Macaca mulatta: one gene and its partner. The protein of the gene in region 2 binds, or shares a complex with, the protein of the main gene of each other region. Links are inferred from orthologs where the notes say so. Each region holds a gene or a part of one and is shown on either strand. Other genes may lie near its edges. The genes, in order: CIRBP and TNPO3.

The links.
Region 1: the proteins of TNPO3 (region 2) and CIRBP are in contact, whole or in part, in a crystal structure (PDB 8CMK), measured with the Homo sapiens proteins. The link is inferred for Macaca mulatta from reciprocal best matches to the Homo sapiens genes TNPO3 and CIRBP. Residues at the interface, in NP_036602.1 of Homo sapiens: Arg620, Glu660, Arg661, Cys663, Arg664, Arg667, Phe668, Arg671, Ser698, Cys699, Tyr702, Ser705, Ile706, Asp709, Glu710, Asp747, Asp750, Asp751, Arg754, Arg758; in NP_001271.1 of Homo sapiens: Tyr160, Arg161, Ser163, Tyr164, Asp165, Ser166, Tyr167, Ala168.

The regions. Positions count from the first base shown.
Region 1 is NC_133424.1:1,940,096-1,944,448, forward strand, and holds the start of CIRBP (cold-inducible RNA-binding protein), read left to right. Parts: upstream 1-1,478; 5' UTR 1,479-1,538; intron 1,539-3,432; 5' UTR 3,433-3,438; coding exon 3,439-3,541; intron 3,542-3,644; coding exon 3,645-3,751; intron 3,752-3,834; coding exon 3,835-3,973; intron 3,974-4,054; coding exon 4,055-4,136; intron 4,137-4,353. UniProt on the Homo sapiens protein: Cold-inducible mRNA binding protein that plays a protective role in the genotoxic stress response by stabilizing transcripts of genes involved in cell survival. Acts as a translational activator.
Region 2 is NC_133408.1:168,632,983-168,636,787, forward strand, and holds part of TNPO3 (transportin-3), read right to left. Parts: intron 1,839-3,805; coding exon 1,692-1,838; intron 114-1,691; exon of another isoform or gene 1-113. UniProt on the Homo sapiens protein: Importin, which transports target proteins into the nucleus. Specifically mediates the nuclear import of splicing factor serine/arginine (SR) proteins, such as RBM4, SFRS1 and SFRS2, by recognizing phosphorylated SR domains.

The DNA of each region.
Region 1 (4,353 bases), on a different chromosome or scaffold from region 2:
CAGCCGGCTGCTGCTGACGGGGAGCGGGGCGGCTGTAGTGGGGGGGGCCGAGGTGCAAAGCGGGTGGTGATGAGTCACACAGCTGCTGTCGGGGGGAGGGGTCTTGAGCCCATGAGGGGTCCCAGAGACCTTGTCACTGGAGACAGCGCCCTTGGCTACCCCCACTTCGATCCACTTGAGGGTGGGAGTGAGTCTGAGGCCAGGAGTGGGACCGGGATTTCCCTGAGGTGAGCCGCAAAACGGGGGTCTCTGTACCCCAACTCCCCCCAGCTTGTGAGCAGAGGGTCAGCCCTCCTGAGACTTTCTGGGGCAGAGAGGCAGGGGTCCACGCTGGTTTCTTCCACCAGGGCCGGGGGAGGGGGCAGCATGAGATGAGGCCTGGGTGAGGAGCAAGTGGTGGCCATAGAGGGCTCCCCAGAGGCTTTGGGGCCAACGAAGAGTAGGGAGTGAGGGTCCTTGCATAGCTGGTTCTCCAGATGGCGGAGGCTTTGAGACTTCCCTCTGTCAGCCAGGCTCAGTAGGGGAGGTCTGTGGAAGGAGAGAAAAGGCCTGGGTAGAGGAGCAGAGTGGGCCCGGCCCGGCGTGGGGAGCGAGTGCGCATTGGGTGTGCAGCACGGTGGGAGGGGAGGCCGAGGGCCGGGCTGAGTGCTGGGGTGCAGTGGGGACTCGGGGTGTTCGCCTGCACCCGACAGCAGGGACGCACAACACTATCTGGCCAGGCGAGTGTGGGGGTGTGGGCGATGCACCCAGCCGTGAAGTCGCGGTTCCAGTGGGAGTTAGGCTTAGGTGCGGGTTGGAGTTTGTAGGCAAACTGGATTGCGTAAAGTTGGGGTGCACCAAAGTGTGGCGAAGTAGGAACAACTGGGATTGCGAATGTTGGGGTTCGCATGAATGGGGTTGTCTTTGTTGGGGTTTGGGTGGGCATGGGGTTGATGGCAGGAATGGAGTGCTGGGGTGCTGGGAAAACTGGGACGTCGGTTGTAGTGGCAAGAATATCACGACAGGTATCGGGGTTCAGATGAAGTTGGGATGTCTGACAGCCGGGGCTTGGTTGGGTAGGGGATCTGGGCTAGGTTATGTCGGGACTGCTGGAGCACAGGCAAAGTCGGGGTCCTAGTGACACCCAGAGGTCCCCATGAGGCCGGAGGCCTCGGAACCGGGGCTAGAGGCCCATTTGTTGCCCGCCGCGGGCCAGGGAGAGGGCACGCGGAACTGGGTCAGCCCCGCCCCGCCGCGCGCTGGCCACGCCCCCCCGAGCGCGGGCAGGGGACTGCGGACTGGAAACGTCCCGGCCAATCGTCTAGCCCGACACCAGCGCGTGGGAGGAGGCGGAGCCGAGATAGACCCGGCCCCCAGCTCATGAATATGAGACGCAGGAGCGGCCTCTGATTGGTCCGGGAGGTGCAGGGGGCGGGGCCCGGCGGCGGTGTATATAATGCCGGGCGCCGGGGCGCCCCCCCTCACTCGCGCGTTAGGAGGCTCGGGTCGTTGTGGTGTGCTGTCTTCCCGCTTGCGTCAGGGACCTACCCGACTCAGTGGTGAGGGCCCTGGCGGCACCGGCTCCGAGGAACTCGGGGCGGCGGGCGGCCTGCGGCGGCCAGGCGAGGCGGGGCCGCAGCGGCACGCCCCTGGGAGGGGGCGGTGCCGGGGCGGGCCCGGGGTGGAGTCCGCCCCGCCGGCGGCGAGGGGCAGCGGGAGATTGGGCCGAGTAGCGGCCAGAGGGCCTCTCCCCGCCGGCCCGGGCCGCCAGCGACCGGCTTGCCGCCGCAAAATGGCGGCCGCCAGCTCGAGGCTGTGCCCAGCGAAATGGCGGGAGCACCGAGTGCCCGGATGGAGTGGCGCAGGGCGCGCACGGGGCGCATGCGCACGCGGCGGGGGCGGGGCCACGTGGCGCGCCCGGTCTCCAGGGCCGGTTTCCCTGCCATGGGGCTGGAGGTATCCATAAACCAAAGCTTTTGTTTTCTGAGCCTCATTTTTCTCCTTTTCCCATTGTGATTGCATGAGGGAAAGGACGGCCTCGCAAATCCTGGGTAGGCATGGCCCGTTCCAGTGTGATTCCTCGTCTGCCACGTCGTGCTTTGCGCCCAAACTTTGGTCCAAGTTGGCACAGCCCCCAGTGCCAGACTTCCAAGTCTAGTTATCAGCGCCACTGGGTGGTGGCCATTCCCAGCCAATGAATGCTTTGTCTGTGTCAGCACTGACTGCGCCCTTAAATAGCCAGTTCTCCTGAATGCCATTTCTCCTGTCTGGAAATCCTGCCTCATCATTTCCGGGGCCATCGCTTCCCGATTCCCGGCAGAGGTCCTGTCTGTAAAAGTTAGTGCCTGCCCCGAGGTGCCCCCCAGCACGGGGCGGCCTCCCTGACAGCCAGCCCCCCCCCAGTCTCGGGGAATTTTACAGTGAACAGAAGCACGTTCTGGTCCAGCAACAAGTAGAAGTCAACTGGTTAGGGTTGGAGTTGGCACCAGTTCGTAAAGGGGAGAGAAGCTGAGGGTGCAGTCCTGCCCACGGCACGACTGGAAGATTCGGGGCTAGAGGGGGAGACACCGGAGGCCCTGTCCCATGGGGAGGACCGTGGACATGGGTGCGGCCTGCTTTTAGTCTGGGGGGTGGAGGGAGCTGAGAAGCGGACTGTATTCAGTGTGGTAAATCAGTTTGAATTAAGTCTTAGGTAGCTGAGTGCGGTGGGTTATACCTGTAATCCCAAAACTCTGGGTGGCCAAGGTGGGAGGATTGCTTGAGCCCAGGAGTGAGTTTTTTTTTTTTTTTTTTTTTTTTTTTTGAGACAAGAGTTCCATCCAGTCTTGTTGCTCAGGCTGGAGTGCAATGGCGTGATCCCGGCTTACCGCAACCTCCGCCTCCCGGATTCAAGTGATTCTCCTGCCTCAGCCTCCCGAGTAGCTGGGATTACAGGCATGCACCACCGTGTCTGGCTTACTTTGTGTTTTTAGTGGAGATGGGGTTTCTTCATGTTGGTCAGGCTGGTCTCGAACTCCCGACCTCAGGTGATCGGCCCGTCTCGGCCTCCCAAAGTGCTGGGATTACAGGTGTGAGCCACTGCACCCAGCCGAGCCCAGGAGTTTCAGACCAGCCTGGGCAACAGAGCGAGACCCCATCTCTACTAAAACAAATTAAAAAGAAAAAATTAGCCAGGCGTGGTGGTGCACATCTATAGTCCCAGTTTCTTGGGAGACTGAGGTAGGAGAATTGCTTAGACTAGGAGGTGGAGGCTGCAGTGACCCATGATTGCACCACTGCACTCCAGCCTGGGTGACAGCTTAAGTCCTAGGTACGAGTTTCCGACAATGAAAAACAATAACCTGATTTTCTAATATTTCCCCTAAAAAACACATGTCATTTACATAAAATAGGAAGCGGGGAGAGGTGGTGAGAGATGACCCCTGTTGAGGATTTCATTGGTGTCTGCCACAGGCCGCCATGGCATCAGACGAAGGCAAGCTTTTTGTTGGAGGGCTGAGTTTTGACACCAATGAGCAGTCACTGGAGCAGGTCTTCTCAAAATACGGACAGATCTCTGAAGGTGAGGCTGGTGCTGGGCCGGCGGCCCGGGTGGGGCTGGCTTGTGCTCCTCCTGACTGTAGGTACAGCTGGGTGCTGACTGCAGACCTCTCTCCCCTGCACAGTGGTGGTTGTGAAAGACAGGGAGACCCAGAGATCTCGGGGATTTGGGTTTGTCACCTTTGAGAACATTGACGACGCCAAGGATGCCATGATGGCCATGAACGGGAAGGTGAGGATCAGGGTGTTGAGCGGGAGCCCCATCCTGAGGATGGGGCACCCACCCACTAACCTGTGCCATCCGCTGGTCTCCAGTCTGTAGATGGGCGACAGATCCGAGTAGACCAGGCAGGCAAGTCGTCAGACAACCGATCCCGTGGGTACCGTGGTGGCTCTGCCGGGGGCCGGGGCTTCTTCCGTGGGGGCCGAGGACGGGGCCGTGGGTTCTCTAGAGGTGAGTGCCGTGAGTTGGCCCTTTGGGGATGCTGTGAGGCACTGCTGGTGGGAGCTGGTACTCACTTCTTCCTGTATGCAGGAGGAGGGGACCGAGGCTATGGGGGGAACCGGTTCGAGTCCAGGAGTGGGGGCTACGGTGGCTCCAGAGACTACTATAGCAGGTGAGGGGTGAAGACCAACCCGGGCACAGGGGTGATGGTGGGATGGCCAGCTTCAGTCCCAGGTCCCTGGGGGAGCTGAGATGAGGCTGGCTGGCCAAGGAGCAGAGGCGGGAGGGGGCCCAGGCCAAGAGGAGAAGAAACTGCTGAAGACAGTGGCAGAAGCGGGAAGGCCAGGGGGGCATGGCTGGTGCAGGTTTTGGACGATTTCTGAGACTCT
Region 2 (3,805 bases):
AAGGGGCCCTGCTTTATAAATCAGGCTTCCAAATAAAATGTAGCTGAAGACAGGAGTCGTCACTTTATTTTATTTTTTTTGAGACTGAGTCTGGCTCTATTGCCCAGGCTGGAGTGCAGTAGCACAATCTTGGCTCACTGCAACCTCCACCTCCTGGGATCAAGTGATTCTCCTGCCTCAGTCTCCTGTGTAGCTGGGATTACAGGCACCCGGCACCATGCCCGGCTAATTTTTCTATTTTTAGTAGAGAAAGGGTTTTGCCATGTTGGCCAGGCTGGTCTCAAACTCCTGACCTCAAGTGATCCACCCACCTCGGCCTCCGAGTGGTGGGTGCAGTCTGAAAACCACTAGACTAGATCATGACTAAGGTTGTGTGGAGATACAAAATACCATGACTCAAACAAAATACTAACATTAAAATTAAGAGAATAGCACGTGGGATTTAATTGTAAGCAATAAAACTTACTGCAGGTCCTAAATTAAAGGACGGATTCAACCAACCAACAGGATGAAATAAATGTGGCAAAATTTGAAGAGATTAAGCATGATGTTTGAAGAGTTTTCTAATAAACTAATAATATTTCTAGTATTTTTTTCTAAACAAATAGATTTCTATATTCTTTTAAACTATAAAATGAGTATAAATAAGATTTTTAAAATGTGTATGTTCGTGGGGCAAAATCATACACACAAATATTTCACTTTTGTATTAGTTTTCATCTAACCACTTACTTTCTACTATTAATAAGAGTCAAAATTTTGGTTGGGCGTGGTGGCTCACGCCTGTAATCCCAGCACTTTGGGAGGCCATGGTGGGTGGATCACAAGGTCAGGAGATTGAGACCACCCTGGCTAACATGGTGAAACTCCGTCTCTACTAAATATACAAAAAATTAGCCGGGCGTGGTGGCGGGCACCTATAGTCCCAGCTACTCAAGAGGCTGAGACAGGAGAATGGCGTGAACCTGGGAGGTAGAGTTTGCAGTGAGCCGAGATGGCGCCACTGTACTCCAGCCTGGGCGACAGAGCAAGACTCCCTCTCAAAAAAAAAAGAGTACAAAATTTTACATTCTGATTTTTCTCTTACCATACCATCATTTCACTACCTTTTAATTGCTCCATCAAGTTGCTAAATCATAACTCTTCTTATATAGTTCATATAACTCTTATTATACTGCTGTATATGGGTTTATAATTTTTACTTTTATAGATAACATTTTGTATATAAAATAGCTGTTTTTTCTTCTGCAGATTTAAGATAAATTCCTAGGAAAAGAATTACTGGTTTAGCTGGAGTGTTTTTTGTTTGTTTGTTTTTGTTTTTTCCTAAACAGGCCTAACAGATTATACTGGTACTGACTTCTTCAGTATAAGCTGTAGAGTGACAAAACCTGCCAATCCTCCCACCTCAGCCTCCTGAGTAGCTAGGACTACAGGCGTGTGCCACTAGGCCCAGCTAATTTTTTTTTTATTTCTTTTTGTAGAGACAGGGGTCTCTCTATGTTGCCCGGGCTGGTCTTGAACTCCTGGCCTCTAGCAATCCATCCACCTTGGCCTCCCAAAGTGCTGGGACTACAGACATGAGCCAGGGTACCCAGCCAGGTTTATTATCTATCTTCTCAGTTCCTTTTCAAGTTGGCACTGACAAGAGGAAGAAATTAAGATTTGAAGAGGTAGAGAAGGGAACTTACATGGTCTGGTTCCAGCTGGCAGTGTCGAGCCAAGGCATGAAGCAGCCTCTGAATGTAAGCTTTGAAGATGCCATGAATAACTTCATCATTAGTTTTGTACAAATGCTCCCCGAGTCGGTACCAAAAGTTAAATGAAATTTCTACTACCTGTTAGGTTAACAGAGATGATTTATTTGAATGGGAAAGGAATAGAATAAGAAGACATTTTATTATCACCATGACCATATAGGAAGAAAGATATATTTTTAAATAATATGAGTGGAGTCAGTTAAGAAGTCACCTTTTCTCTAGCAGATTTACTATTTATCTCCCCAAATTGTCTTCCCATGTTAGGCCCAAATCTCCATTTAGAATGACTGGCTTTACATTCCATTTAGTCCTGAGGTAATGCCTCCAAAAGTACACTGAATTTTGAATTTAGAGAAAACGATAACAGACATGGAAGTCTTTATTTTTATTTATTTTTTAGAGACAGAGTTTCATTCTGTTGCCCCAGCTAGAGTGCAGTGGCACAAGCACATCTCACTGCTGCCTCTAACTCCTGGGCTCAAGCGATCCTCTTGCCTCAGCCTCCCAAGTAGCTGGGACTACAGGTACACACCACCAAGCTCAGCTAATTTTTTTTTTTTTTTTTTTTTTAGTAGAAACAGGGTCTCGCCATCTTGCCCAGGATGGTTTTGAATTCCTGCCCTCAAGTAATCCTCCCACCTAGGTCTCCCAAAGTGCTGGGACTACAGGCATGAGCCACCGCTTCCAATTTTATTTTACTTAAAACAAATTTCAGCCAGGTGCAAAACACCATCTCTACAAAAAAATACAAAAATTAGCCAGGCATGTAGGTGGCGCATGCCTGTATTCTCAGCTACTCAGGAGGCTGAGGTTGGAGGATCACCTGGGCCCAGGAGGCTGAGGCTACAGTGAGCTGTGATCGCACCACAGCATTACAGCCTGGGCAACAGAGTGAGACCCTGTCTCAAAAGATATATATTTTTTCTTTAGAGACAGGGTCACCTAGGCTGGAGTGCAGTGGGGCACAATCATAGCTCACTGCAGCCTTGAACTTCTGGGCTCAAGCGATTCTTCCACACAGCCTCCTGAGTAGCTAGGAGGACTACAGGCACTTGCCACCATGTCTGGCTAATTTTAAAAATTTTTCTGCAGAGACAGGGTCTTGCTCTGCCATCTAGGCTGGAGTGCAGTGGTGTAATCATGGCTCATGGCAGCCTCGAACTCCTGGGCTCAAGCGATCCTCCCATTCAGCCTCCTGAGTAGCTGGGATGAGAGGTGTGCGCCAGCACACCCAGCTAATTTTTGAAATTTTCTGTAGAGACAAGGTCTTCCAATGTTGCCCAGGCTGGTCTCGAACTCCTGGGCTCAAGCAATCCTCCCACCTCAGCCGCCAAAAGTGTTAAAGAGGTATGAACCTCATTAGAGGTATGAACCACTATGCCCAGCCAGAAGTCTTTTTTATTCATTTATTTATTTATTTTGAGATGGAGTCTTGCTCCATCGCCCAGGCTGGAGTACAGTGGCGCGATCTTGGCTCACTGCAACCTCCACCTCCTGGGTTCAAGTGATTCTCCTGCCTCAGCCTCCTGAGTAGCTGGATTACAGGCCCGTGCCATCAAATACAAAAAATACAGCTAATTTTTGTATTTTTAGTAGAGACGGGGTTTCACCATGTTGGTCAGGCTGGCCTCAAACTGCTGACCTTATGATCTGCCTGCCTCGGCCTCCCAAGGTGCTGACAGGCGTGAGTCACCGTGCCTGGCCAGAAGTCTTTTTTAAAGTATTTTTCTGAAACTTCTGAAATCACTGCATTGAATGTTTGAGATTCAAAATCATCTGTAACTCCTGAACATAACTGATTCAGCTTCATGTCACTTTTATTCACCTGTTTTCTTGAGTGTGACAGAAAGGGAGAAAAGGCCTGGGATTTTACTCGTAGCCTCTTTTCCATATGGCACTGTTTAAAGGAGTGATAATTGTGTGGGGTTACATTCTTCCAGAAATGTTTTGGGTTCCACTCAAATCTAGGTATCCTCATGACATTACGTAAAACAAATAAACCTTGTCTTGCATGTGATAACAGAAAACGGGTCGAGAGTCACAGG